Diceros bicornis minor: one gene and its partners. The protein of the gene in region 1 interacts with the protein of each later gene in a pairwise test. Links are inferred from orthologs where the notes say so. Each region holds a gene or a part of one and is shown on either strand. Other genes may lie near its edges. The genes, in order: NDEL1, YWHAE, zinc finger protein 772-like and TRIM27.

Region 1 (7,644 bases):
CACCGATGCCCCGCTTGTCAAGGCATGCTGTGGCGGCGTCCCATATAAAGTGGAGGAAGATGGGCACAGATGTTGGCCCAGGGCCAGTCTTCCTCAGCAAAAAGAGGAGGATTGGCATGGATGTTAGCTCAGGGCTGATCTTCCTCACAAAAAAAAAAAAAAAAGAAGAAAGGGCCTTGTCAATTTTACGGAGAAGAATCCCATGAACATGAAGCCCTATTTTCACTCAGGGAGCAGCCCCTGCCACACCTCATCCTCTTACCCTGGTTATGTTTCTTTATAGCACTTGTCATGACCTAACAGAAATAAATTTGTCTACTTGCTTATAGTCTGTCTTCCCCATTAGAATATAAACTCCATGGGGGTGGGGTTAGAGGGTGGAGGAGGGGTATGCTTTATTATAGTTACATGGTTGAATCCCCAAGGCCTACAACAGAGCAAACACTAAACTCATAGCTGATGAATGACGTTCCTCTCTCTATAAAACCACTTCTCACCTCAAGGTCCAAGTGTGTAATTTTTTAAATGAAAAAAACTATTATTATTATTACTATTTTTTATTACAAAAGGAAAAGATGTTGCTTTGGGGATTGTAGGTGCTATAGACTGGGTTTAAGATTTGGGCTAGAGAAAAGTCATAATTGCCTAGGACCCCAATCCTGGTTCCTTTGTAACTTGGTATCACCTAAGTTCAGCCTTTCATACCAGGGAAAATCTTGTCTCTATATGGTAATTTTTCTCAGAATTTGGGGCATTTTCCAGAAAGTGCTGTCAATCTTGCATTTGGAGTTCTAGCCACCAAACCATTGATTCATTCTTTCACTTTCATTGAAGCATATTAAACAAATGTTTGCTAAGTGCCTGTTGCTGGGGGATATTAGGACAATCAACACTGTCCCTGCTCTCAGCGGGCTTTGGTTCCTTGGGGAAGCTCAGACACCTCCATGACCAAAAGGCTGTGTTCAGTAAGTCTCCTGTGAACTATGCGGGGGCTCTACTTGAGCTCACAGGAAGGAGCACTCACGTTAGGTATCAGGGAAAGCTTCCTGGAGGAGGTAGTATATGAGTGAGACTTCAAAAGGCAGAGGGGCAGGCTGGCCAGGGAGCCTAGGAGCAGCTGTAGTGCACAGGGCAGTGGGAGTCAATAAAAGGCCCAGAGAGGAAGGGAGCTGTCCATTTGGGGGACAAGTGGAGGGTCTGGTCAGACACAGATAGGTGAAGTGGGTTGGAGTTGCTTTGGAGGGCCTGGAATGCCTGACTTTGTAGTTTGTACTTTATCAAAAGGAAACAGGATGCCAAAACAAGTTCTGGAGCCAGTGATGCTCTGTACACAGTGAGATTTTAGCAAGATTATTCTGATGACTGTGTGGATTACTATGCTGAAAGTAGAAGAAATTCGAGGGAGAGAAGTTTGGGAAGGGAGGGACAGACAAGTAGGAGGCTTTGGACTGGGAAGATTTAGGGGGAAAATACTGGTAAATGGATTTATTTGACAGAGTTATGAAGGGCAAGTCTTTCAGGTTTGGTGGCCATGTGAGTGAAATGAAAGCTGGGAAGGGGATAATTAAGGGTGATTTGACAAGACCTTCGTGCCTTAGGGGCCAGGGGAGTGATTACACCATTGGCAGAAACATGAAAATCATTTTGGAAATTTCAACTGGGGCAAAAGGAGAATCTGTTTGGGGTTTAGACATGAAGAGCTGGAGGTGGTGGTGGGACATCTGGTGGACATATACAGCAGGCCATTAGTAACCAGCCTGATCTATGCCCCTAAAGTTTAGCAGAAAATACTGGCCAAAAAATACGGAGAGATTGGGCTGAATCAAACCTTTGATTTTCAGGTGTCTGCTCACCTGATTCAGTGGAGAGTTACACATGCCCCATCTCCTCAGAGTTTTCATGACAGGCTTGGGTGCACGGCGTCACCTTTTGTGAGTGTGGTGGGCTGGAGTCCAGCATCCTCATTAGCTAGAGTTTGCATTGGTGTCAGCTGGTCAACCCACACCTCCCCCAGTGGTGGAACCTGGCCTCTGTTTCCTGAGTCTCAGAGTTTGTGGCAGGGAGGATGTTGGGATGCTTGTGCGTGCTCTCAGGGACTGTGACATTGACCCCTTGCGCTCAATCCAAGAAAGATCCTGTACTGGGACCTAGGCCTCAGCAAACCCCTTCTTAATGGTTTATGAAGGGAGAGGCTGGGGCAACCCTCACCCACCTTTTCCACCTTCACAAAGCTGATTTTGTAACTCTTGTTCCCCTTAGAGGCTGTCTTTAGTCTTCACTTCCACTTTATTTTCCCTGGATGGGCATCCTGGAAGCAGGGAATGGGGCAAAGGTGGCTGTTACTTGGGAGAAAGCTCAACCAACACAGAGGAAGGAGATCAATTATAGGGCTTTGATACCTCTGAGGGCCCTGCCAAGCAAAGCCCATTCATTAGGATGGGGCCGACATACCAGTCCCGACAAACACCAGTTCTGGGTCCAGGCTGGGTGGGAGGGGTGGTGGCCTGGAAGATGACGTCAACATTTTCTGCAGGGCCTGGCCTGCCATTAGGTGACTCAGTGTATTTCCCAGGACTTCAGCCAGGAGGCAGGGACCAGGGTTGCAGCCTTTATTTATTTTTCCCTCTTGAGGCGGGACTGTTCTGTCTTGGCACTAGGTTCACAAGAAAGCCTTCCTGCCTCATCATCTCTCTGCCTGTGATCTCATCGGCCAGGGCACAGCTTCGGCCAGGGAAGCAGAGCCCCAGAGCCTAAAAGAGCTTCCATGATGTCCCAGGTCATTGGGCTTGGAATATGACCTGCTTAGGTTTAAACCCCACGTCCTCTGGGCCTCAGTTTTCCAATATATAAAATGGAGGTAATAATTTCAGCCTCATAAGCTGCTTGTGAGCTTGAGGGAGGTAATGTATGTAAAGCACTTAGCACAGTGCTCCAGCCCAATAAATGGTAGTTATTATTAATAGTCCCCTTTCTTGAGTGGCAGTATAGCAGTGGTCAATAGTGTGGTTTCTGGAGTTAGACAATCCAGATTAGGAGGGTTTGAATCTTGAGTCCTCTTTTTTCTTGTTGAGTGACCTTAGGCAACTTCATCTTGCTGAGTTTCAGCTTCCTCATTAGTCAAATGGGAATAACAACAGTACCTATCTCACAGGGTCGTTGTGAGGATTAAATTCTGCAAACCAAGCGTTTAGCACAATTGCCAGTACACACAGATGAAACAAAAGTGAACTATTCTTATTATTATTATCATGATCTTTTCAACCCTATATTATTCAGAGTCCAGCTCAAGGTGCCACCCTTCCCACAAACCCCATTAATCACGTCTCTGATCTTCATTGATTTGGACACCTCTTACAACCCATTTACATTGTTCCTATTTACGTCCATTTCCTCAAAAATCTAACTGGACCTCCCAGGCTCACCTTGCTCTCACCTTGAGGCCTTACAAGTCATTACTGTGTCCCCAAAACCCACAAATCCAATCCCCAAAAACACTGACCTCAGAGAGAATTACATTGTGCATTACACAGCAGAAGTTCCTAAAATTGTTTTTAAAACAGCTCTATTCCTTCATGTTTCCACTTCCTAAGCAGTTGCCCACCCTCATTTCTCCCCTTTCTGAGCTACTCCCCCCTCAGCCCTCTTCCCTCTCAAGTTCCCTGGACTATAAAATGAATTCCTAGTCCTATAAAATGGATTCCATTCTTTAGGAGTCCCAGGGAGATGAAAACACACACACACACACACACACTTAAATAAATAAATATAAGCTTAGCTACATAAAATATATAAATGGATATTTATATTCTCTTGGTGCCCTCAACGAATCCTTTCATTCATTCAACAAATATTTGAGTTCTCATTTTGTGTCCAGAACCAAGCAAGCTATCTGTTGGACAAGAAAGGCAAAGGAGGTTCTAGCTCTCATGGAACTTACATTCTGCTGGAGGAAGACAAAAACAAGTATAAAATTTCCAGCTAGTCTAAGTGCCGTAAAACGGTCTTTCTGAGAGAGAGGGATGAAGGGCACTAGAACACCCCTGGTATTTCGTAGGGTGGTTGAGGTTAGACTCGAGGTGAAATCTGAGCCGACATTCATTTTATAAACGGGAACACTGAAACAGACACCTGAAAGACCTTGGTGGCTGAAAAACCGGGAGGCAGAGTCTCATCCAGCGTGGTGCCATTGTCCGGAACAGCAGAGAGTTTTTGGGAACCTCGAAAACCGAACGCCCCCACTTCTCGAGGTCCGGGGGCGCCTGCGCAGAGGCGGCCGCCAGCCTGACGTCAGCGCGCCGGGCCGACCCGGCCCCCTGTGACGCCATCCTCGCCACAGCCCCGCCCTGGCCGCCCGCGCGCTCGCGCGCATGCTCGGAACCCCGCCCCCGTGCGTCACAGAATGGCCTCGGACACCCAGGCAGCCCTTGACGTGTCGGGGAGGAGCTGGGCGCGGAGGTGCGCGGAGTGGAGCTCGGGGCTGCCGAAGGGAGCGGAGCTGAGCGGCTGGGCGGGCCTGGCCAGGCCAGCGGAGCGGAGACGTCGGTCGAACGGCGGCGAACATGCGCTTTTGACACATTGGAGGTGAGCCTGCAGTGCGGGGCCGCTCCCGAGGGACCGGGCCGGGCCGGTGGCGCCGAGGCCTGTCCCCGGGAGCCTGCCGGGCCCGGGGGCTGTGTCTGAGGCCCCGCCGGGCTGGGCCGGGCCGGGGCAAGGTTCTGGGCGGCCAGTCCGGGGGCAACTGTTCCAACCGCTCTAACTGCCCCCTCCACGCCCCGGTCCCAGGGGTGGCCCACCACCTGGAAGGGGGCGAGCCGGTCCGCCTCCGGAGGATGTGCCGCGTCCGGGGGTGGAGTGAGGGACGACCGGGACGGAGGCCGGGACGTGGCACCGTGGGCCGGGGCTCTGGTGGCGCAAGGAGTGGCTCAGTTGGAGGTGGCAGCGGCGCGCCCAGCCCTCCGCCTCCTCCCCCCAGCCCTTCAGCCGGGAGGGTGGTTTGGAGCCAGGTTGGATTTTGAGCTCTCGTCGCTTCTCTGCTGTGGCGGGCGAGAGCGGAAGCAGCCCACGTTGGGCTCCGACGGCATTCCCGTGACTCCCCGCCCCGAACTGCTAGTCGTCCGTTTTGGAGTTCAGAAAAGTGTCACCAGACGGGTTCGGGTTGCTTGTGCTCTCCTCTTTTTTTGCTGGTAAGCAACCAAGTAACCCTTTAAGTTTTGTCAAGAAAGCGAGAGTTCTTTACTGATTATTACCTTCCGTTTCTGTAGCGCCTTCACACATTTCAGAACATTCTTGCTATCTCTTTTGAACCTCATCATCCTGTGGTTGTGCCTGATTCTGTTATCGCCATTTGACGGATGGGGAAGTTGAGCCCGGCTGGGGTGGGGAGTATTAAGTGATTTATACTGTGGATTCTGCCAACTGGTGAGTGGATTCGCTTGGATCAGAATTTACGTCTCTGGGCTCAAAGTTATGGTTTCTCTTTGTGGGATTTTTATACTCGTCTCAGCTAGAAAGCAAAACAGAAAATCTGACTTGCCAAAAATATACCAGAAGCCTAGTAGAAGATTTATTCAAATATTTTTGATCGGACTTACTTAGGATAAGAATTGCTACTCAGTTAAAAGAAAAATCCTACTCTGAAACTTGTTCACGGGTTGCTGGCTAATTATTTTGTCTGATATATTGTGTTGCTCTTAATCCACTTATGAAATAGGGTCATGGCTTAGCTAAATCATGAAGTTGGTGGGATAAAATGCAGCATTAAGTCTTGGGTTGAAGAGAAGTAAAGGAGAACTGAGTCCAGATCTCTCTTGTGGATTTTTATCAAAATTATTATTTAAAATTAGAGGTCATAAAGAACAAAGAAAACCTTTGGATAGCCCTGGTTAGAGGTTGACGTAGCCCAGATAGAAATTGCTAAATCTTAAGAAACTGTTCTTTTTTAGTTCTGTTTTGACTTTTTAAATTAAATAAGTTGAAGTTGGATAAGGAACACTTAAGATAAGTAGAAACCTCAGTAAAAACGTACATCTTGCTTTCATGACATCTGTAAAACTTATTTTTCTTCTCATTTTAAACCATGTGGAGATATATTTGGTTACTAAAGCTTAAAATTACTTCTGACATAAGTTACTGAGCACTTCATAAGGTAGAAAAAGAAGTTTGACAGTCAGGACAAAAAGGGAGACCATATTTATGATGGGCTTTGAAAAGTTAAAAATTCTGTAAATATCACCTTTGGGAGAAGTAGAAGAATTTTGGTAAAAAGGTATGTATTACCTACAGTGAGTTCCAAGAGAACTCTTTTAATCTCATTAGTCCATTCTACAACTATTAACAAGAAGCAATATCATATAAAATGGATTTTCTTACCATTGCACAAAGAGTAGTTTCTTTGTAAATACAGCATTTTGGACAGGCTGTTTTATACCCAAATAAGTGGATTTGTCAGTTGCTAGATAACTGGCAGTCCTATACAGTATGATAATAGCCCATGTAAAAGTCAGCACACTTTTGAGATGCACACTCCATCCATATGAGACGTGGTATGGAGGGAAGATTTGGGTAGCAGGGGAGAGTACCTAATTATCTGCCTTCATTTCAGCTTCAGAAGATTGTAGATGTATCATTAAAGCATTTTTTTTAGCAGTATGGTTTTCTGTATTGGCTAACTTTCTATAGCCTTAATATCTCCAGTTACATAGTTTCAGATAACACAGTGAACACATCCTCCCACTGTAACTTGAAGCAAACTGAACAGACTGTCTTTACAGCCCATGAAAAGGTCTTTTGGATATCTGCAGTGGTAGAAAATTTGTAAAAAATCTGATTTTTGGAAAGGATAAGTCTGATGAATAAAATTAGAATGATAAAGCTTGATAATACCAATTAGGAAGCAGTAAAAATGAGGTGTGACCACAAAGAAAGAACTTTTTGTTTAGTTTTTAATCGGGCTCTTCAAGACTACACCAAAAGAAATTTTAGAAATGTTTTCAGTAATGGTGCTATCACTGGAATATGCATATAGCTTCCAGAAGTGATTAATTTTAAGGATTCATTTATATATTATAAATTCTGAAGCACATTTATTTTGTGGTAATACTTCAAAGGTCCATGACTGAACTACCAGTTTTTTATCATTTAATGAAATTTATGCTGTCTTTACTATATGCCAGGCTCTGTACTAAGTACTTTACAAATATTAACTCACTTAATCTTCGTAACAACCCTATTTTAATTATTAGCTCCATTTTACTGATGAGGAAATGGGGCACTGAGTGGTTGAGTAACTTGCCCAAGGTCACCCAACTAGTGAGTAGAGGAGTCTGATTCAAACCTAGGCAGTTTGGCTCCAGGGTCTGGGCTCTCAACCACTGTGCCATGCTGCTCCTACCACTTGTTCCCTGGTTAAATATTTTTAATTGCTTTGTTCTGGAAAAGATGATGGTCATTTTAGTAATAGGTTTCTGACAGATTATAATATTGTTTGAAGGGCCAATGAGCAAGTTGTAGAAGTAGCCTGTAAATTAGAAAAATTGCAGTCAGCATTCAGTTCACATAAGATTCATCAAGAAAATAGAGAAGCATGTGTAAAATAAAAACACATATTAAAATAATTTTGCTAGAATTATTTGACACTGAACTAAG
Region 2 (7,229 bases), about 6.3 Mb from region 1:
ACTATTACCCATTTTTTCCCTAACAAGACATGTATTAAGGAGTTAATTGAAAACATACCCCAAACCCTTCACTGACTACCAAGAATAAGCTAGAAAAGAGTTCTGGTGTTTTAAAAGGATAGCTCTCAAGTGACTCAGAACAGATGCATTCACACACACAGTGAATCAAATGTGACCATCAAAACTTTATCCCTACATCTCACATGGGGCCAATCATCACAAAGAGAAGAAAGGGGAGGAAAGGACAAAACGAGCAACTACTCCACAAACCCAAATAGAGTTTATGCTACCCCTCTACTCTCAAAAAATGTGAAAAGTACTCATCTTTTTTCCTGCTATATTCCCAACTTTTCTGTATTAATGTGATTCAGATATATGGGAAGGTTAAGACTTAGTTCAGGACTGCTTAAAGGTGATGGGACTTCCTTAATATGGCTACGGATGATACAAAAACTATTCCTTAATCTACTGACTTGTTAAGGGTGAACTCCTAGCCTCAAACTTCAATATATCCCATCCACCACCTCAAACTGTCCTTTTCCTGAACAGAGCTTAACTCTTCCTCCAGTACCATTAAATAATCCACATAAATTGATTCCAATTCCCCAGAATAGAGTTAAACAATACAAATAAGGTTCAACATACCATGCAAAACAAAAGATAAAGGTACTGCAGGAACAAAGAGAAAAGCCAGCATTTATACAAAACCAAATCATTCAAATGCACTCTCACCTTCTTCCATTCCCCACACCTGATAAATTGTTTGGTGACTAAAACTATGGGATCACTTGGCACAAACAAAAATGAATTATTGCACCCAATAAAGGAGTTGACACAGGCAGTGGCTGATTCCTGAGGAGTGTCTTCCTCTTCTTCCTTTCCAGTGAATCCCTATCTCATGCCCAACAGTCACTGGAGTTCCTTCCCACCTGGCAGATCCTTAAGGAGACACCTAACGTTTACACAACGTAACGAAATGGCTTTATCTAAAGAGTCCTATGTTAAATAATGAAGGCTTTGGTCAAAAAGCCTCAGCACTCAACACCAAAATATGATTATCACTAAACTGTCACCTATTTGGGAGCTACAATCATGAGCTTCCAAGTCGGTTTTTAAAACAAGTTTAAAAAAAAAAAAAAAACCTTCCTCTACGCCCTTTTTGGTTATCACAGCAAGTTTACTAAAAGGCTAAAATTCTACAAAACAGAAAGCACTCAAATATAATTTCATGTTTCCTCCCAAGGGCACTGATAGATTAAGAGGTGAACCTATTTGGGGCATGATGGGGAAGAAGAAAAAAAACTTCCATTATGAGCATTTGTTTGACTTCTAAACACTGAAATAAAGACAAATCTGACCTTGAGCTGTACTTCCCCATCTTATTCCCCTCCCCCTGCCCACAGGAACCTTGTTCAATACAAAGAGTAATTTAAGGATTTACAAAATGAAATTTAGTACAGTACCTTTCCTAGGTTTCAGTTCGAGGTCTTTTCTCTTAATTTTCAAATTCCTGAATCCTAATGTATGATGATACAGAGACCAGCCCTGAGGCTATTCATATGACCAAACTGGCATCAAGGAAAAAGCCCTACATAACATTTTTAAAAAGAAGCTTAGGTAATTAAAAGAAGTCTAAAGATCTATAGCATTTGATTCCAACTATGTCTCACCCTACAACAGCATTAAAACCACAGAAGCACATACATGATTTCTTGTTTTTATAATACTACAGTTTAAAGGATGTGGAAGTAATTCAAGTACCTAGGTCCAAAATGGGGGGAGGAGCAATTAAACAAAGCAGCCTGGGACTGACTAAACAGACACTACACACATTGAGATAAAGTTCTCAAAAATGACTAAAGAACCTCTGGGGCAAAGGAGCAAAGAAAAACTGTTCAAATCTGTACCTCAAATCTCTTATTTAAAATGGAAAAAAGAAAATAGGATCTGCTGGGATCCCCTACGTTCATAATCCAAAAACCCAAGCCTCAACTGAGGGCGTGGGATTGGTTAAGATCCCCAATGAACGGGCACTCCCAGACGGGTGACAACCAAAATACAGTTACTCAACGTTATCTGAAATAACTTTATTTTTCAACAGGTCTTTCCATTGTCATAACGGTGCGTGTAAACAGGAAAGTCATCATTTTTACAAACTGGCAGACTGAGGCACAAGCATGGGAAAGGGACCAGAAGTCATGGTCTCCTTGTTTCCTGTTCAGCGTTCTATCCACCAGAATCCACAGCTTATGGAGCCAGAAAATGATTACAGGACCTTCGAGCTCTCCGGGATGAGTCCGAAGAAAGGGAGCGTGAGTGAGGTCCTTCCAGACCTCCGCCAAAAGACGGCGAGGTTGAACGTAAAGCCTAAAAGCCCCTCACTCCAAGGTGTGCCGGCCTACGGGAAAGAAATCCGATCGCAGCATCTCAGCTGGCCTCCGCCCAAGGATGAAGTGCAGTGATTCCCACTCTCCCCTTACCCCACCCTCCTCCAAGACTGCCCCCCACCACAAGCCCAAGGAACCCCTCTGCTCGCAAAGGTTCTCCTTTGTGAGACTCCACAGCCGCCGCCCCACATTGGGCCTCCAGAGAAAAGCCACCGCCCCCACCCGCCATATTTCCCTGAAAGGCGCCCGCGCTACAGCTCCCGGTCGCCACTCTCCCCCATGTGGCGAGTGTTTCTTCTTCCATCTCCCCACCCAATTGTTTTCCACATCCCAAGACTAGCCCAGAAGCTCCCCTGAGGACTGCTCGCCCGGAGACAGCACCCGCCATCTCCTCCCCCTCCCCCGCCCCGGGACTCGCCCTCCCCCAAGCCGCCATTTTACAACCAACTCCTCCACCCTATGGCCTCGGCCTCCTGGCTCGAGAGTGTCTGCAGCTGAGGACGCCGAAGGGGTCACATTCCTGGGCCTGGAGCCTCCCACCGCTCCGGGAGCCCACAGGCCATTTCCTGCTTCCCGAATCCACATCCCCGGGCCAGGCTCGGAGACGACGCCGCCATTTTGTCTCCTGCTCCTGGCCTCTGTGGGCGGCGGCAGAGGGTCCGAGAATTCCAGCCCCCCGTTGCCCCCCCAACTCACCGTCGTATCGCTCAGCCTGCTCGGCCAGCTTCGCCTGGTACACCAGATCCTCCCGATCATCCATAGCGGCAGCGGCTCCGGCAGGGTCTGCGCGACGGATGGAAGCGGATAGCGTCTCCGACTCTCTCAGCCTCTCGCTCCGCGTCCGGGCAGCAAAAATGGCGGCGCCTCAATCCGGGACTTCCGCCTGCGCACGCGGACAACTGCTCAGCTCTATGGCAACCGCTCCCTGGCAACTGGCGCGGGGGGCGGGTCCGGGAGCTCGGCGCCCTAAGAGACTGGAACCAGCAAGACGCCCCTCCTCCGTGGGCTCAGCGGGCGCCAGAGGGCTGAGGCGGGAACTGCGATTGCGGAGAGGGAGAGCAGCCCCGAGGGAGCGAGGGACGCCAGAGGCGAGGCTGGCTTGGACAGCTCCTGAAGAGAGTGAGCGAGAGAGCCTGGGCCCTGAGCGAGGGCGGACGCCTGACTGGGGGCAGAGAAAGCCGGAGGCTGTAACTGTTTTTGTAATGGCAGGCCTTCCTCACTGAAACCACCTTGCTCTCTCTCCTACTTTGCCCTGTTTTCTCAGCCAAGCCCCATCCTGGGCCTGTTTAGACCCTTTTGACCCCAGGTAAAGAGTTGGGACCTGCTATGGTTGGTGGGAGAAGGGGGCTCCAGTTTTCACACCTCAACTTCACCCTCGCACTTCGCCATCTTTTTTTTTTCCTGCCCTTTAGCTTTCTTTTTCCCCTTAGGCCCACCATGGATAGGAACAGGGAAGTTGTTCAAGGAGCCTGGTCTGGGGCTGGCTCCGTGGCTTAGCGGTTAAGTGCATGCGCTCTGATGCTGGCGGCCCAGGTTCGGATCCCAGGCACGCCCCAAGGCACCACTTCTCCGTCCAACCTGAGGCCGAGTCCCACGTACAGCAACTAGAAGGATGTGCAGCTATGACATACAACTATCTCCTGGGGCTTTGGGGGGAAAAAAATGAATAAATAAAATCTTTAAAAAAAAAAAAAAAAGGAGTCTGGTCTGGAGTGCAAGGTGCAGAAGAGTGAGACGAAGATCAAATTAAGATTGAGGAGACAGGAAGGGAAATTGCTTCACACAGGAAAGAAGCTGTTTTGCTTCCCAATGGATTCCTAGCACCTTGTACTCAATACCATATCTGTTGCAAGACTGAAGCTCAGGTAACTAGAACATAAGCTGTGTGGTGGGGTCTGCAGTAAATGTAGAATAAAAAGTAGGTTGGAACCTAATTATGAAGAGCCTTGGATGGCAAGCTAAGAAGTTTGCACCTTATTCAGTGGGCACAAGCTATTTTTTGATGATTTTGCATGGAGGATGACACCATCATAGTTATACTTTAGAAAACTAATATGTTGTACAGAGCAGTGATTAAAGAGGAGGATAAATTCTCAGGCTATACTACAATAATGCAGGCAAAAGGTAATAGACGGTAGCAGTGAAAATAGGAAGGAAAGGACAAACAGGAATAGTAAGTACTGCAGACGGAAGCCAGAAGAGTTTGTAGCTGATCAGATGTAGAGATCTTGTGAGGGGACAAAAAATTAAAATTGACTTTCCATCTTCCCACCTTGAATCACTGGGATACTGAATGGCAATACCATTAACAAAAAGTAGGAATACTAGGAAAGTTTGGTGATGGAATGCAGAGGAAAACACGAGTTCCTTTTAGCACATGTTGGTTCTAAGGTTCTCAAAGATCTCACAGGTAGAAATAACCAGCGTGGAAATGGAAAGGTGGACTGGCATTCCAAACTGAAGGGAGGCTGCCGTGGAAGCAGCTGGAGAGTGTGTAGAGGTAGAAGAGGACCATACACAAAACCTTGGAAAATACCTACTTTTAAGAGATAGGTGAAAGCAGAAGAGCCAGCAGAGGAGACTGGATGGCTCCTTACTGCATTCCAAACTAAGCCCCTTCACACTTGTAACAAATATTAAATTTCAATGGTAAAAGACTGAAAATCAAAAACTTGGGTTCTAGTCCTAATTCTATAACTAAATAAATGTGTGACCTTCAGCAAGTCATTTCACCTCTGAGCTTCATGTTCATCTGTAAAGTTAAGGAACTGAAGACCATATGTTACGCCATAAAACAAGTCTTAAATATTAAAAGTTGAAATCATATGAAGTATCTTGTCCTACCACAATGGAATGAAGCTAAAAATCAATAACAGAAGGAAAACTGGACAATTAACATATATGTGGAAATGAAATAACATTCTTAAATAACTGATGGGTCAAAGAAGAAATCACAAGGGAAGTGAGAAAATACCTTGAGATGAATAAAAACAAAAACACAATATACCAAAACTTATGAGATGTGGCAAAAATGGTACTAAGAAGGAAATTTATAGTGGTAAATGCTTACATTAAAAAAGAAAGATCTCGGGGCTGACCCGGTGGTGCAAGCAGTTAAGTGCGCATGCTCTGCTGCGGCGGCCCAGGGTTCACTGGTTCAGATCCCGGGTGCGCACCGACGCACCGCTTGGCAAGCCATGCTGTGGCAGCATCCCATATAAAGTGGAGGAAGATGGGCATGGATGTTAGCCCAGGGCCAGTCTTCCTCAGCAAAAAGAGGAGGATTGGCAGATGTTACCTCAGGGCAGATCTTCCTCACAAAAAAAAAAAAAGAAAGAAAGATCTCAAGTTAGTAACCTAACTGTACACCTTAGGAACTACAAACAGAACAAAGTAAACCCAAAGCTAGCAGAAAGAAATAATAAAGATTAAAGTGAAGATAAATAACATAGAAAAAAAATCAACAAACCAAAATTTGGTTTTTTAAAAAGATTAACAAAATTGAAAAACCTTTAGATACATTGACTAAGAAAAAAAGAAGACTGACTAAGAAAAAAAGAAGATTGACTAAGAAAAAAAGAAGAGTCAAATTACTGAAATCAGAAATGAAAGTGGGCTGGGGCCAGCCTGGTGGGGTAGCGGTTAAGTTCACACCTTCTGCTTTGGTGGCCTGGGGTTTGCCGGTTCAGATCCTGGGCACGGACCTACTCACCACTCATCAAGCTATGCTGAGGTGGCGTCCCATATAGAAGAGCTACAACTCTATAACTATGATACACAACTATGTATTGTGGCTTTGGGGAGAAAAAAGGAAAAAGAGGATGATTGGCAACAGATGTTAGCATAGGGCCAATCTTCCTAAAAAAAAAAGAAAGTGGGGACATTACTACCGACCTTACAGAAATATGGATTAAGGGCCAGCCTGGTGGCATAGTGGTTAAGTTTGCACGCTCCACTTCAGCGTCCCAGAGTTCACAGGTTCAGATCCCGGGCACGGACCTACTCAATGCTTGTCAAGTCATGCTGTGGCAGCATCCCATATACAAAATAGAGTAAGATGGTTAGCTCAGGGCTAGTCTTCCTTAGCAAAAAGAGGAGGATTGGCGATGGACATTAGCTCAGGTCTGATCTTCCTCACCAAAAAAAAAAAGAAAGAAAGAGAAATATGGATTGTAAGGGAGTATTTTTAACACTGGTACGCCAATAAATTGGATAACAAATGAAATGGACAAATTCCTAGAAAAACACTGTGACATCCTGAAATAATAAGAAATAACATATTTGGTCTTTGTCCTTGGTTCCTGGAATAGAACTCCTAAAACTCTTGTAATTTCCCCAAGTGATAGGGGTGAGGAGTTTTGTTTGTTATTTACAATAAGCATCTTTCAGTCATACCTGAGTTTATGCTAATGAGGTGACTCTTGGTGTTCCCCTAGATAGCATCAGGATGGGGGCTGGTTGCCAGAGGAATCAAAGGTGATTAGAGGATTAGAAATTTCAACCCCACTCACCCAACTTCTGACCTCCAGGGATGAGAGAGAGGCTGGAGATTGAGTCAGTCACCAATGGCCAATGACTTAATCATACCTAGGTAAAAGAACCTCTGTAAAAAACTTAACGGGGCTCAGAGGGCTTCCAGGTTGGTGAACACATCCATGCCAGGAGAGTGGCACATCCCAAACCATACAGGGACAGAAGCTCACTCTGTGTGTTTCTTCATCTGACTGTTCATTTGCATTCTTTATAATATCCTTTATAGGGCTGGCCCCCTGGCTTAGCGGTTAAGTGCATGCGCTCTGCTGCTGGCGGCCCAGGGTTCGGATCCCGGGCGCGCACCGACGC
Region 3 (6,730 bases), on another chromosome or scaffold:
GGGAAAAAAAGACATATTCATCCTTTAAAACAGCAATTTCTTTAGCTCTATCCAAAGTGAAAACATGTGGAAAAATTACTGCTCTTATTTGGCTGTAAATTACATTAATTCCAATCGGCTGGAAAAGCAATAAGCCACCTTAAAATTACATATCTTAGCTATATTAACTATAAATCTGATAGTTTCAAAATGATGTCAGAAAACTTTTCAGAGAGTCCTTGATAAAGTTATTTACCAATTACTAAAAATACTGGCAGAAGGTATGCTTTATTCTATCTCCTAAGCACTTTCCACCCCTCTGCTCTAAAGCAGGATGGTGGTTGTCTTAGCACTGTCAAAACAAGGCAGAGTATAGACATTATATGATCCTAATAATACCATAAAATAGTCTGAGTAACTTTTTTGAATAATAATATTTTCAAATCTTTATGTAATTGTACTCAGTACAAAATATGAGATTCTTTTTCCTACAAGGTCAATTAAATATGCAATTAAAAATTACTCCCGCATGTCTTCCTCCTGTGGCTGTCAGTGCAAATTCTCTAGGGTCATCATCTCTCCCCCGATTTGTGCATCGTACAAAATCATTCATGTGAACTGTATTCCAAATGGCTTTAAAATATTAAAAGTTCAATTTCACAATTTCTTCTGCTCAGTGATCAGTGTGGTGAATCTCCTTCATTTTGATAAAGGTCATAAAGTTTTTTTATTCTTCAAAGTGCCTGATTTTGTGGGTTGTGGCAGGAGGAAGGAGTGAAGGAGAGACAGCAGATCATGAAAAAGAAACAGTGCAATCAGCACCAGGAAAGTGACAGAATTATATTTAAGAAGAAACAAACAAATTTCCTCTCATTCTAGATATTTCTTTCAACCCTTTGACTATAACTTATTCACTCAGATGACCATTGTGAGTGAGTCAGCTGAAATGGAAAGAGGGGGACATTAAAATAATTAAATTTTGTCTTTATAATTTCAAACAACTAGATTCAGAGGAATAGGAATAATTGTTATTCAGAGTCAATATATTTAGGAGAAGTTATGACCAGTAGAAAAAATTTAATAGCTTCCCCCCTACTTTTCCACTTTCCCTAAGTGAAAAAATAATCGCTAATTTGGGGGAGACTAGTGATAGAGGAAGTGTGAGGAGTGGGAAAAGTCTGTGAGGGATTGGAAATTAGGAAACAAGGACGCAACCTGAAATGAACAATAGACAGGTACAGAGACTAGTAGAGACCAGCAACCTAAGGGGTGATTTAGTTATCTTACTATTGTTAAATGGTGAAGATTTAAAACAAACTCAATGTTGGATAAGTCACCCCTAAGTAAAACCTTCCATTCTAAGTTTAGTTAGGCAAAATTTAGTAGAACTATAAGGAGTAAGCAAAAGTGGAAAAAAGTCACACATGTATCTCATAAACCATCAATTCAAAGAACTGGGTAAAGGATGCAAATAACCCAACAGCAGCCTTAAGCTAATACAACTATTATATGTGTACCCAAATGAGGGAATAGAGTTTATTTTCAAGCACTTGCAGAAATGTACACAAATGTGAATAACAGCAAAAATAAAGTTTCAAGTTTCCCCAAAACTACCATACAAGAGTCACAAACAAAATACAGTAAAATAATAATAGAAAAATCAATGACAAAAAGGTAATGCACACAGCACACTAACCTAAATATTTGAAAAATTAAACGCACAAGTTTGAATAATTTGCAGGTAAAAGTGGAATTCAAAACAGAAAATACAACATTTTTGTTAAAAAAAAAAAAACCATAATGAACAACACTGCATTTCAAACCGGAGTGTTTCATCTAACGCAACAACAAAAGGGAGATGTTGGATAAGTTAACCTCAACTGCATTTACTAGAACATTAGAAGGCCCGAAAGTAAATGAATTAAGATTTCACTGCAAGAAGGTAGGAAAAGAACAAGAAAATAAAACACTCTAAATAGAAGAAAATAATTAGTCAACAAAATGACAAAAAAATAAATAAAACCATAGATTCAATCAATAGATAGATAAATTTTTTTACAAGAATAATAAGACAAAACTTTGTCTAGTGTGATTTTATTTTTAAAGAGAAAGAAGGTTTAAATAAACATCAGTTATGAAAAATGGGTAACTATTAAGTAATCTATTACTTATGATTAAATACCATATGATTCAGCAATTCCACTTCTGGGTATATATCCAAAAGAAAGAAAATCAGTATCTCAAAGAGATTTCTGCACTCCCATGTTCATTGCAACACTATTCACAATAGTCAAGATATAGAAACAACCTAAATGTCCATCAGTGGATGAATGGATAAAGAAAATATGGTGTACGTATTTATACAATGGAATATTATTCAGTCACAAAAAAAGAAGGAAATCCTGCCATTTGTGACAATAGGGATGAACCTGGAGGATCTTAGGCTAAATGAAATAAGCCAGACACAGAAAGACAAATACTGTACATACTCACTCATATGTAGAATCTAAAAAAAAAAAGTCAAACTCATAGAAACAGACAGTAGAATGGTAGTTGCCAGTGGCTAGATGGTCTAGACACTGGTGGGGGAAATAGGAAGATGTTCGTTAAAGCATCAAACTTTCAGTTATGAGATGAATGAGTTCTTGGGATCTATTGTACAACATAGTGACCATACTTGATAATACTGTGTTGTATACTTGAAATTTGCTAAGGGTGTAGATCTTAAGCATTCTCACCATGCACACACAAAAAAGATAACTATATAAGGTGATGGATGTGTTAAGTAATTTGATTGTGGTAATCATTTCACAATACATACATACATCAAATCTTCACATTGTATACTTTAAACATATACAATTTTATTTGCCAATTATACCTCAATAAAGCTGGAAAAAAGATTAAATAAAGGTAAAATAATATAATACAATGATCAACATTCTAGGAATAAATATGAAAATCTAGATAATAGGAAAAAAAATTCTAGGGAAATATAAACCACCAAAGCAGCCCAGTGAGAAGAAAATCATAAAATCAAAGAAAGGGTAATCAAATTTCTTCAACCACAAAGATATTAGACCTATTAAACATTCTTTCTAAAAAGCTAATTTCAATTGTATAAAACGGTTCCAATACAGACAATAGAAAATAGATAATTCCTCATTTTCTGAGTTTAGCAATGACTGTGGCCCCCAAGACAGAAAAGTACAAGAAAGTAAAAAGTATATTAATCATAAACACAGAAGCAAAAATTCTAAATAGAGTATCAGTAAATCACAATCAACACTTCACTATAATAATGACATCATGACCAAGGGTTTAATCTCAAGATTGCAAGGATGGCACAATTTAAGAAAATTTACCAACAAAGTTAATTCACTAAAATAATATATCTAAATAATAAAATATATATAATCAACTGAACATATGTCAATGTACCACTGAATGATATCCAGCAATCATTCATGATAAAACAAAATCTTGGCAAAGAATTTTCATAAATGTACTCATCAGATTACTACAGCAAATATATGTACAGTATAAGATGGGAAGTCTAGAATAATTTACTTTAAGTTCAGAGATTAAAAAGTCACCTCTTATCACCACTACTAATCAACACTGTCCTAAAGGTTCTATCCTCTGAACTAAGACGAGACAAAAAAATAAGTGGAGAATGTATGTAAAAGTTAAAAGGTATGAAATAAAATATTATTTGCAGAGGATATTATCATCTATATAGCCAAGATAATCAACCAACAAACAATTAGAACTAAAGAGAGAATTTAACAGTACCTAAGTACAAGATCAACACAGAAAAAAAAAATTAATAGCTACACTATATAGCAACAACGAGACGCGTAAAAAAAACCGATTCATATTATCAACACTTATTATTAAGTGCAGGTCGGATTGAAAACAGGACTATGAAATTTGGAATGGAAACATTTGGATGGACTTGAATGAAGCTCAGAACTACGAACTTTAAAATTACCTCAAGTCATCTTTGCCAGCCGAATCCTCCTTTCCTCTCTCCAATCTAAGGAAGCCAGACATTCCAGGGTTAAAAAATAAAATCTTTATAAGGCAGCGTCGGGGCGGGACTTCCGGTCTCCGGCGCATTGGAACGAGCTCTTTTGTTCCTGCGGGTCCCAGAAACGTGGACGGGAGCGCCGGGCGGAGGTTGCTTCCCTGCCGGCTCTTCTGCACCGAGCAGAGTTTGCTTCCCTGAGGGCTCTTCTGCACCCAACAGAGGACAGTTTCCAGGTTGGGACCTACCTTCATGCTTTGTAGGAGCTGTGATGCCCCAGTTCTTACTTCCTATCGGTGAGACTCGGTGCGCGTGACTGTGGTGCAGACAACCTTGCTGTGGTGCAGACAACCTTGCTGTGGTGCAGACAACCTTGCTGTGGTGCAGACGACCTTGTGCCTCGTGTTTGCTGGCGCTCGCTGGGCCGCCCCCTCTCGGGGGCTTGGTACCTTGGTGATGGCAGAGGCAGCAGCACAGATGGACTCGGTGCAGAGGTTTGTGCGTTTCAGTGACGTGCTCGTGTACTTCTCCGAAGAGGAGTGGGAGCTACTTGATGAGGCTCAGAAAAGCCTATACTGTAGTGTGATACTGGACAACTTTGGACTGGTGATCTCAGTGAAACTTGAAAGTTCCAGATACTCTGAGATTACCCAACCCATGCCAGAGAGAGAGCTCAGGGTTCCTGACAAGGAAGACACAGCTCTAGCCGAGGCAGAGATGATCCGGTCGAGCCCTAAAACTGGCTGTTGGCATAGAGTGGAAGATGAAGATGCATCTTCTGAGCAGGGTGTTTCTGTAGGAGTGTCACAGGTGAGAACTCTCGAGGTGGGTCCTTCGATCCAAAAGAGCCACCCATGTGAAATGTGTGACCCGATCTTGAAATACATTTTGAGTCTGGCTGGGCATCAGGGAACATCCCCTGGGCAGCCATCATATCCATGTAAGTCATGTGGGACAGCCTTCTGGTTCAGTGTAAACCTTGACCAAATCCAGAAGCAGCAGAGTGGAGAGATATTCCCTAGAATGGAAAATGTCCAGCCCTCGTCTGTGAAGAGCTCTGAGAGCCAAATGTCAGAGAAGGTGTTCACTTTCAGGGAGGGTGGGGAGGACTTCTTGGCCAGCTCTGGACTTGCCCAGCACCATACCACTTATGATAGGAAGAAGCCATACGGGAGTGCTGAGTGTGAGGAGGCCTTTCACACTGGACAAAGGGATTACAAGTGCAGTATATGTGGGGAAGCTTTCAGCCACAAAGATGAGTTTGTTCAGCACCAGAAAATCCACATGGGAGAAACATTTTATGAATGCAGCGAATGTAGGAAATTATTTAGCCATAGAACCTACCTTATATTACACAAGAAAGCTCACCTCAAAACAACACCCTATAAGTGCAGTGATTGTGGGAAAAAGTTTTGCCACAAAGTCAACCTCAAAGTACACCAGAGATGCCATACAGTATCAAGGCCTTATAAGTGTGCTGAATGTGGGAAATCCTTTATCAAAAGATACCAGCTTGTTCAACACCAGAGAATTCACAGTGGAGTAAAACCCTACAGGTGCACTGAATGTGGGAAAGTCTTCACCCGAAAAGACACGTGTACTCAACACTGGAAAATTCACAGTGGAGAAAGGCCTCATGTGTGCAGCATATGTGGGAAAGCCTTTCTCCGTAAAACTGCATGTGGTAAGCACGAGAAAATCCACACTGGAGAAAAGCCCTATAATTGTGATGAATGTGGGAAATTCTTTGGCCGCAGTTCCTGCCTTTCAAGACATAAGAAGATTCACAGTAGAACAGAGCCTTATGCATGCAATGAATGTGAGAAAACCTTCAACACTAATTTCAACCTTACTCGACACAAGAAAGTTCACACCAGAGCTCTTGGGCTTGTGGGTAAAGTGAATGTGGAAAATTGTTTGGTGGCAACTTCAGCCTCATTATACACCAGAGATGTAACACCGGAGCAAGGTCTTATGTGTTCAGCAAATGTGGGAGAGCCTACAGAAGACCCTCTCACCTTGCTTGGCCCGTGAAAGTTCACACCAGAGAAAGGCCTTGTGAGTGTAGTGGTTTTGGTGATCCTTTAGCTGCATTTTTAAGTTCATTTAGCACCACAACCTTCACACTGGAGAGGCCTTAAGAGAGCAGGGAACGTGCTTTCTCCTTGCTCAACATTGCATGACTCATAAAAGAGAAAAAGTGTGAAAGTAGCCTTTGAGATGGAGCCCACAAGCAAAAGTTAAACTTCATACATCCAGGTATCTACACTGGGGAGATAACAGCAAGTGCCAGGTATGTGGGAAGTTTTCAAGAGCTACTTTACATTCTTTAACCTTCCCAGGACCTTTCCTTGGCCTGAGTTATGTCAATACCAGTGTCTGTTGTGGAAACCATTCCACTTCTACCAGCAGTCAGGGCCCCACACTGTGTGTCAGTCACCCCAGTGTGCTCAGGTATGGCCGACCTCTACTCTCTCTCCTCCTTCATGGAGGGAATCATGAGTGATCTGAACCCACTGGGGATCCTCATTCCCTCCCTGCCGATGGTTTCAGTGTGGACTTGGCCCAGCTCCTGCTGAAAAGATCTGAGCTGGAATCTGCTGCAGTTTTTCAGAGGTTTCTGTCTTCCATGGACAGTACTGACTCTGTGTGAGATAGCTGAGATGGATTTCTCCAGCCTCTGAATCATCCAACTTTGGAACTGCCTGCCAGACACTGATC
Region 4 (7,961 bases), on another chromosome or scaffold:
AGGAATCAGAAATACCATAGGCCTCATCAGGTCCTACTCAGTTTGGTGCCCGGAAGAAAAAACAGTCCAAGGAGGGAGGGGTCAACAGTGTCAAATGCCTAAGAAACATTAAGATGAAGACTGAAAAGTGTCCTCTGGATTTAGCCAATACTATTAGAAATCATTGGTACCCTTAGGACAGACAGGTTGAGTGGAAGGGGTAGGTAGGAATTTATTTTTAAATAAAATATTTTGTTAATAAAAACTGTATTTTATCAGTTAGGTTTAATTTCTATTTCATATGCAGACAATCCAATAAGTAGCTTAAACAAGACAGTGGCTTTAGTTTCTCTCACATATATGAAGTTTGGACACAGTCACTCTGCCGTGAGTAAGAACCCAGTCTTCTTTACCTTTCACTACACCATCTTAGTGCTGGCTTCCATCTTTAAGTTTGCCTCATGGTCCAGGACAGCTGCTCGAACTCCTACCAACATGTGCACATTCCAGGCTGGAAAAAGTATGAAGTGGGAAGGTTAAAAGGTGCACTTCCCAACTGAGTAGGCTTCCTTTAAGAGGCTTTCTCACAATTCCCACCCCAAAACTTCCACATAGATATCATTGGCCACCCACAATCTCAGGACCATGTTGAAGTAGGAAAGAAGTGCTGGGCTCTGCACAGAGTGGCAGTTAGGACCAGGGACAAGATATACATCAGCACAAGACTGTTGTGACAGTGCATCATAGAACTTTCAGTGTGATGGTACAATCCACACTGTGGGGCCCAACTGCTGCTTTCAGAGTAAATGTTTCATTTTAAATACTGAATCTCAGATCCACATATTATTATTCTCTGTCTTTGAATACAGGACATATAACTGGAAATGACCTGCTCCCTCACCCCCCAAAACAGTCAACAGTGAGAATTTCAGGTTGAAAAGGAACAAAGGGAATATATTGAGAAAATGTGACTACAATCTGTCTAAGTGTGGATCTCTGAGTGTATTCTACTTGGACTTCACTGAGCTTCTTGGATGTGAAGATTTTTTATCATCAAATTTGATAAGTTTTCAGCTATTATTTCTTCACATATTCTTTCTGCTCTCCTTTTTTGCTCTCATCTCCCCTGGAACTCCCATTATGTCAATGAATTTTTGTATACGTAGACACACATGTAACCATAGCTCAGATCAAGATATAAATTATCCATGGTCCCCAGAAGGTTCCCATGTGCTCCTTCCTTTTTTTAATTCACCCCATCCCCATTCTGAGGGTAACTTCTATCACTATGGATTATTTTTTGTCTGTTCTTGAATTTTGTATAACTGAAATCATACAGAATGAACTCCTTTATGTCTAGCTTCTTTAGCTCAACACAACATCTATGAGATTCATCCCTCTTGTTACATGTAGCAACAGTACATTTGTTTTTATTGCTGTGTATCATTCTGTTGTATTAACATGGCACTATTTATACAGTTTACTATTGATGGATATTTGAGTTGTTTCCAATTTTATCTTTTGTGAGTAAAGTTGCTATAAACATTCTTGTACACACACACAAATAAATAGAAATGCTGGGTGAGTTGAGGGTGTTCCTGGTTACATCCATAACCAGCTGGACAAGGTTTCATATTGTAGCTTTGCCTTCATGAATTTACCACAGTATTAGCAGCAAAGCGGCCTGGGAAGTATCTTTTAGCTGGTCATATTGCTATCTAGAATAAAATTCTAAGGAAGGAGTGGAGATTGGGTATAAAATAGTCAACAACAGTCCCTTCCATGTTGCATTAAGATTGAAACGTTCTTATTAAAATAAATAGCTGTACCAGAAATCTTGAACTGGAGGTCAGGAAGCCAATTTCATCTTGCAAAGATGATTTTACAATTTTTAGTTAGTTTCCAACACTTAAAAATCAATAAATTTCACATAAAACTCCAGATTTGTGCCTTCTCTCTTTTCTTGTGTGTGCTCATGATGGCTTCATTTTTTATTTATTTTTTTATTGCAATAATGTTGGTTTACAACATTACATTAATATCAGATGTATATCATTATATTTCAACTTCTGTATAGACTACATTGTGTTCACTATCAAAAGTCTAGTTGCCATCTGTCACTGTATATGCTGTCCCTTGAAAATCTAAAACTTTGGCAATATCCTGGGCCCACATTCTCAGGGGTCCTCTTCAGCTAGAGATGAAAAGTAGCTGCCTCTCAGGAAGGACGTCTGTCCTCCAATTAGTCACTGTTGTCATCTTTCCATATTGTGTCCCTGGTCTGGCCTGCTCATAAGTTACCTTCTTGTCTCTAACAGGCATTGGTGTTTGCACCCCTGTCATTTTACAAAGGAATAAATAACAACTGTTATAAAGATAAAACGTATGCATAAAATGTGACAGTGGAATCATCAAATTATTAGTCTAATAATTCAACAAGCATTTAAGCACTTTCAATATGATTAGAGCTATGTGCAAGGTGTAATGGAGAGCATAGAAGGTCTGGAGAGGAGCCTCTGTCCTCATGGAGTTACCTCTGACCTCAGTTTCCCTATTTCTAAGGTATGTTGGACTATGTGAGTGCACAAATCACTTTCTATTCTAAAAGCATGCCCTGATTTGAAACCTTGACAGACAGGTCAAGGGTTCCACACAAGGCAAAGCCAAAGAAAGTCTTAAGAAAATAACCAACTACCAGAATTCGAGGATCTGCGTGAGCTCGGGAGGCTGATTGGAAAGGAGAGAGATCCATGTGGCCAGCTTGATTAGGTTAAGCTCTAAAGAAGGGGTAGGATTCATGAGGAAGCCTTGAAGAGGACTGTGGTGAGCACAGTCTGAGCCAGAGGCTGGGCTAGCAGCACTGTTAAGAGGACAGTGAAGATGTCAGCCAGAAGTGCTCAGACTGGACTCCATCCTCAAGAGTTTGGACAATGTTCTGGAGGCAAAAAGGAAGCTTTGAAGATTTCTGAGTAATGGGGGGGATCAGAATTGGCCACCCCAAAATGTGTTTCTTTGGCATGAGGATTATTTTGGGCTGGTTACTTTTAAAAACTGCAGACATGGGAGAAGCTCTGAAAAGTAGAATTTACCCTTTTTAAGAAACATCTATATTTGTAAGTGAAATTTCCATCTGTAACGGTATCTCCCTCTCTGTACCAGGAAAAAGGGGGAATGACTTTATCTCTAGGAACTCTTAGCAATGCAGAACGCAAAGACTTAAATCTGCATAATAACCTTACTCTTGTTTACTGTGCTTTTCTGGTAACCTCCCTCAGCTGACTCCCCCCACCCCCAACATCCTCCTTTGTCTTTAGCTGAAGATGGTATTTAAGATGAGAGCCTCTGCCATTTTGGCGAGTTAGCCAGTTTTTCCTGGGTCTCTCCATGTATACATGTTATAAAGTTTTGTTTGATTTTCTCCTATTATTCTGTCTCATGTCAATTTAATTCGTACCCCAGCCAGAAGGACCCAGAGGGTAGAGGAAATCTCTTTCTCCCCTACAGTAAGAAGTGACAGAATGAAAGAAGCATTTTGAGAAAAGTTTTAAGGATGATTCTCTCCTTTGAGGTGTAATATAAGTAGGTTAGAGGAAAAGACTAGAAATAGGGAAACTAGCAGAACTGGTTGTATTCATCCAGTTACTAACTCATTTAAAAAACATTCTCAAAATGACATTGTCGAAAGAATTTAAATCAAAGTGTAGTAATGAAAATTAAAATGAACAGAGGCAAGTTGAGAGATAAAGCAAAGCAAAGCTGTCCAATTAAATCTAGAGGACGGACAATACTGAAAAAATAGCAAAGGAAACTAGGAAATAGCAAGCTACGGATGAGGGTGCAACGCAAAAGATTTGTAAATCTACTGGATAATGAAAAGAGCCTGAGTCACCGTGGGATTACCAATCTCCCTACACTTTGGGAAGGAAAAAGTACGTTTAGGTCCTATTTGATACAATAACTCTATGCAGTGGGTATTTTATTACTTAAAGGATAATTTCCTTATGGCTAAAAAGTAAAAGATGTAATCAAGTTTCCCTCTTTGCTGGGGTATAATTATTCCCATTTCACCAGAGAAGAAACTGAGGCTCAGAATGGAAAACCAATTTGCTTAGGCACAGTAGGAAGTAGCAGAACTGGGCTTGTCTCACTCACTTTCTGTCCTACAGAAATGTTGCCGTCTGATAATGAAGCCTTTCTCCTTTGAAACAAAATTGCGAGCGCCTGTAAACGGAGTTAATGAAGCGCCTCACAGACCGGATGGGGCTCAGTCGGCTACCCCCGACTGGGGAGGACAGATGTCTCTTCCCATACCAACACAAAGCCACATTTCTCTCGCCTAGCTGAGGCCTAGGCACCAGATAGGAAAGCCAACAAAAGACTATGGGCCCAGGGCCGCGGAAACGGCGGTGGGCCCGGAGCGTGCAGGCAGGGGCTACCCTGTCACCGCTGCGCCCCGTGTGCACCGCCTGCCTGTGACAGCTGTCCCGGGGATCGTGCTCCCGAGCGTTCTCGGCGGCGCTCCCGGAGGAAACAATCCAGGCCCAGGGGCCAAGAAACCGTAAGGCGCGCGGGAGGCCCGGACCAAACCCCGCCCCCCGAGCCGCCCCTTCCGCTCGCGCCGGGGTGGGGTCTGAGCGGCCGCCGGGATCCGCTCGGACGCGGCCACGTTGTCTTGCGCGCTGCGAGCGCCTGGCTCCGCGAGTCAGACCGGCGGCGCCTCCTTCGCGTAGCCGCTGGGCTCGGCGGGGCCGCAGCATCCCCAAGTCATTCAGCCGGGCGCCGCGACGCAGGGAGCGGCCCGGCCCCTCCGCGGGTCTAGCGCGCGGGCGCGTCTGGGATCCGGGCCCGGGAGGCGCCGCCCTCCGTCACCCCGGCTCGCCTCCCCGCGCCGCCCGGAAACAGCGGACGGGAGGGAGCGCAGTCGAGTTGGGCTCCGCGCGGAGCTGGGCGCCGGGGCCCAAGCCCGTGCGCCCCCGCGGGCCCGCGCCATGGCCTCCGGGAGCGTGGCCGAGTGCTTACAGCAGGAGACCACCTGCCCCGTGTGCCTGCAGTACTTTGCCGAGCCCATGATGCTCGACTGCGGCCACAACATCTGTTGCGCTTGCCTCGCCCGCTGCTGGGGCGCGGCGGAGACCAACGTGTCGTGCCCGCAGTGCCGGGAGACTTTCCCGCAGCGGCACATGCGGCCCAACCGGCACCTGGCCAACGTGACCCAGCTGGTGAAGCAGTTGCGCACCGAGCGGCCGTCGGGGCCCGGAGGCGAGATGGGCGTGTGCGAGAAACACCGCGAGCCCCTGAAACTGTACTGCGAGGAGGACCAGATGCCCATCTGCGTGGTGTGCGACCGCTCCCGCGAGCACCGCGGCCACAGCGTGCTGCCGCTGGAGGAGGCGGTGGAGGGCTTCAAGGTGAGGGCCGGGCGCGCGGAGCCGGGAGGGGCAGGAGCGCGAGTCGGACAAAGGGAAGAGCGAGCCAAAGGGGCTTCCTTTTTTCCGCCTAGAAAATGGCTGAGCCGGACGTGTGGTTCACAGCCGTCATTTCCTCTCTGTCCGCTCCAGAGCCTCGGCACTCAGATTTGGGAGGAAAACCTGTAGCTGGTGAGGAAGCCAGAAGTCTCCCCACCCCCAGTCTCCTTATGTGCCCCTGTGTTTACCGGGCATATATGCATAAAGACGGCCCCTGGAGACCCCCCTTGACTGTATAAAAGATGTGAGTAAAACCACGTACGCATCGACAAGCTTCAGAGACGCTCGTACTCCTGTTTGCTTCTAGATGATGTCAGACAAAACACACTCGGACGTTAACTGGCTGTATACACTTCAAGCAGATGCTCATCATCTAGTCTATAAGCATTTCCTTAGCGCTTCCCTGTGCTCCGTCCTGTTCTAGAAGCTCACGGAACAGAACAGAGCTCTTTCCTGCTTAAGTCATTTAACCACTCTGAAACTCATAGGAAATAAAACAGTTATTATGAAGATTAAGTGAAATAAAACGATGTGTGGAGCCCTTTGTGAACTGTTGAACCGACAGACTGGCACAGCTGAACAATAATGTGGAAACAAAGTATTAAATATGAAACAGTTGTAAGGCAACATTCAAGGAGTGCATAATGCTGTGTTATTGTCTGTGTATTTGAGGGCTGAAGGAATATGTACACAATTATGTATATGTTTAAATGTGAGTACATTCTTGCATAATTAATCACGTAAGATTAACAGTGCTTTCAAATATATTGTTTTACTCACACTGGTGATAACCCTTGAGTAGTTGGGAAGGTGATGTTTGTGCATGTCACATATGAGGAAAATAAGAGAAGTTAAATCATTTTCTCAATATGCCTCTGTGGCAGAGCTACAACTTAACATTAGTCATTAACTAGTTCTTTAACATTAACTTAACATTAACTAGTTCAGTCATCTTTCCACTAAGCCATTCAGTATCCTTTCAAGGATAAGTAGGTGACCCAGCATTTAAGATACACACAAATTACCAAAGGAGAGGTGTGGTGACCCATGTGCTCTGGTGATAGCAGTGTGGTCCAAGGACAAGATCTAACCAGGTACTTGGCATGTGAGTTGCATATGTGATAAGCAGAATAGCCATGCTGATGCAAAGGGCTGCCTAATCTTGAACTGCCCAACTGTTTTTGCTTTTCTCAGGAGCAAATCCATAACCAGCTGGACCACCTAAAAAGAGTAAAAGACTTAAAGAAGAGGCGTCGGGCACAGGGGGAGCAGGCACGAGCTGAACTCTTGGTAAGGGTCGTTGGAATTCACAGATAATATCGGTTTTGCTGGTCACTCCCTGTTTTTGAGGCTGTTACTTTCTTTAACCTTGTCCAGCCAGGTCACCTAGAACTTCTGGGTGCAGGTGGAACAACTCCATATGGCAGTTGCGAACTCACCTGGAGAACCAAAGGATTCCTACATTTTTGGGGAAAGGATGGAAGATCCAAGGTTGGAACCCCTGGAGATCTGACCTATCAAAAGTTTAACCTGCTAGCTTTGTACAGATCAGGGTTGATCCTTGACAAAGCTGATACAGGTGAAATTCTTGGGTACAGTTAGCCTCCTTTGGTACCATTCTGCAGACAGTTGCTGACAGTGGCTTTGCATAAGCCACTCTTGCTTCTTGCTGGAGTGTTCGCTTTCTTGACAACACTTCAATTCTGAACTTTTCACTTTGTTCCCTTCCTCTAGTTTCCTAAGGCCTTAGCAAGTAGCTGATACACTAATTTGTGATCAGGATATTTGGGGATTTTGTTTTGAAAAACCAACAAAACCCAAAAAGGACAGAGGCTTTTATAATATAATACTCATATATCCACCACCTAGGTGTTTAAGCATTATTTTTTGGACAAAAAATATTACAAATTCCTACCTGTTAGAGGTATTTGCATCTGAAAAGCAAACTCTTAGACTAGTAGTGTCTGGAATCATCTTGTGAGAAATTTTGTCATTCGTGGCCAGAGTAAAGAACTTTGGGACAGGGAACTTATTCTCATGATGCCCTCACATCCCACCACTTGTTCTGCCCACACGATCCGCTGTGGCCTCAGATCCCCTTGCTTGAAAATAGGTCTGATGGATGGAGAATCTTCCCAGTGAGCCTGACTCGAATCATTATGCACAGCTGTGTCTTCTGTGGGAGGATTGGCAAAGAGGGGACACAGCCCTTTTCTGAGAATCAGGGCACCTGGACATACTTCTTGGCTCTGACACTAGCCAATTGGATAGATGGAGAGAGTAATACAGCCTCTCTGGGCTTCAGTTTCCTCATGTGTGAAATGGATAGGTTGGACTAAACTTGTGATTCTTTAGCAAGGCTAGTACTGCCCTCTCCTCCTCCCCTTCAGTGATGCGTGGGTGTTTCTTTGGTTGTCACCTGAGGAATCAAGTGATCTGGGAGGGTGGAGCAAGGATGCAAAATGTCCTGCAATGCAAGAAACAGTCCCATGCCAGGCGGAATTGTCCCCACCAGAG

The links.
Region 2: the proteins of NDEL1 (region 1) and YWHAE interact in a two-hybrid assay, tested with the Homo sapiens proteins (2 studies listed by BioGRID). The link is inferred for Diceros bicornis minor from reciprocal best matches to the Homo sapiens genes NDEL1 and YWHAE.
Region 3: the proteins of NDEL1 (region 1) and zinc finger protein 772-like interact in a two-hybrid assay, tested with the Homo sapiens proteins (2 studies listed by BioGRID and IntAct). The link is inferred for Diceros bicornis minor from reciprocal best matches to the Homo sapiens genes NDEL1 and ZNF17.
Region 4: the proteins of NDEL1 (region 1) and TRIM27 interact in binary tests that used the Homo sapiens proteins (3 or more experiments, as listed by UniProt). The two-hybrid records come from large-scale screens. The link is inferred for Diceros bicornis minor from reciprocal best matches to the Homo sapiens genes NDEL1 and TRIM27.

What each region holds. Positions count from the first base shown.
Region 1 is NC_080757.1:10,012,715-10,020,358, reverse strand, and holds the start of NDEL1 (nuclear distribution protein nudE-like 1), read left to right. Parts: upstream 1-4,418; 5' UTR 4,419-4,581; intron 4,582-7,644. UniProt on the Homo sapiens protein: Required for organization of the cellular microtubule array and microtubule anchoring at the centrosome. May regulate microtubule organization at least in part by targeting the microtubule severing protein KATNA1 to the centrosome.
Region 2 is NC_080757.1:16,308,132-16,315,360, reverse strand, and holds the start of YWHAE (14-3-3 protein epsilon), read right to left. Parts: upstream 3,239-7,229; 5' UTR 3,148-3,238; coding exon 3,084-3,147; intron 1-3,083. UniProt on the Homo sapiens protein: Adapter protein implicated in the regulation of a large spectrum of both general and specialized signaling pathways. Binds to a large number of partners, usually by recognition of a phosphoserine or phosphothreonine motif.
Region 3 is NC_080781.1:29,855,424-29,862,153, reverse strand, and holds zinc finger protein 772-like, read left to right. Parts: upstream 1-4,465; coding exon 4,466-6,043; downstream 6,044-6,730. UniProt on the Homo sapiens protein: May be involved in transcriptional regulation.
Region 4 is NC_080753.1:37,907,829-37,915,789, forward strand, and holds the start of TRIM27 (zinc finger protein RFP), read left to right. Parts: upstream 1-4,732; 5' UTR 4,733-4,967; coding exon 4,968-5,387; intron 5,388-6,638; coding exon 6,639-6,734; intron 6,735-7,961. UniProt on the Homo sapiens protein: E3 ubiquitin-protein ligase that mediates ubiquitination of various substrates and thereby plays a role in diffent processes including proliferation, innate immunity, apoptosis, immune response or autophagy.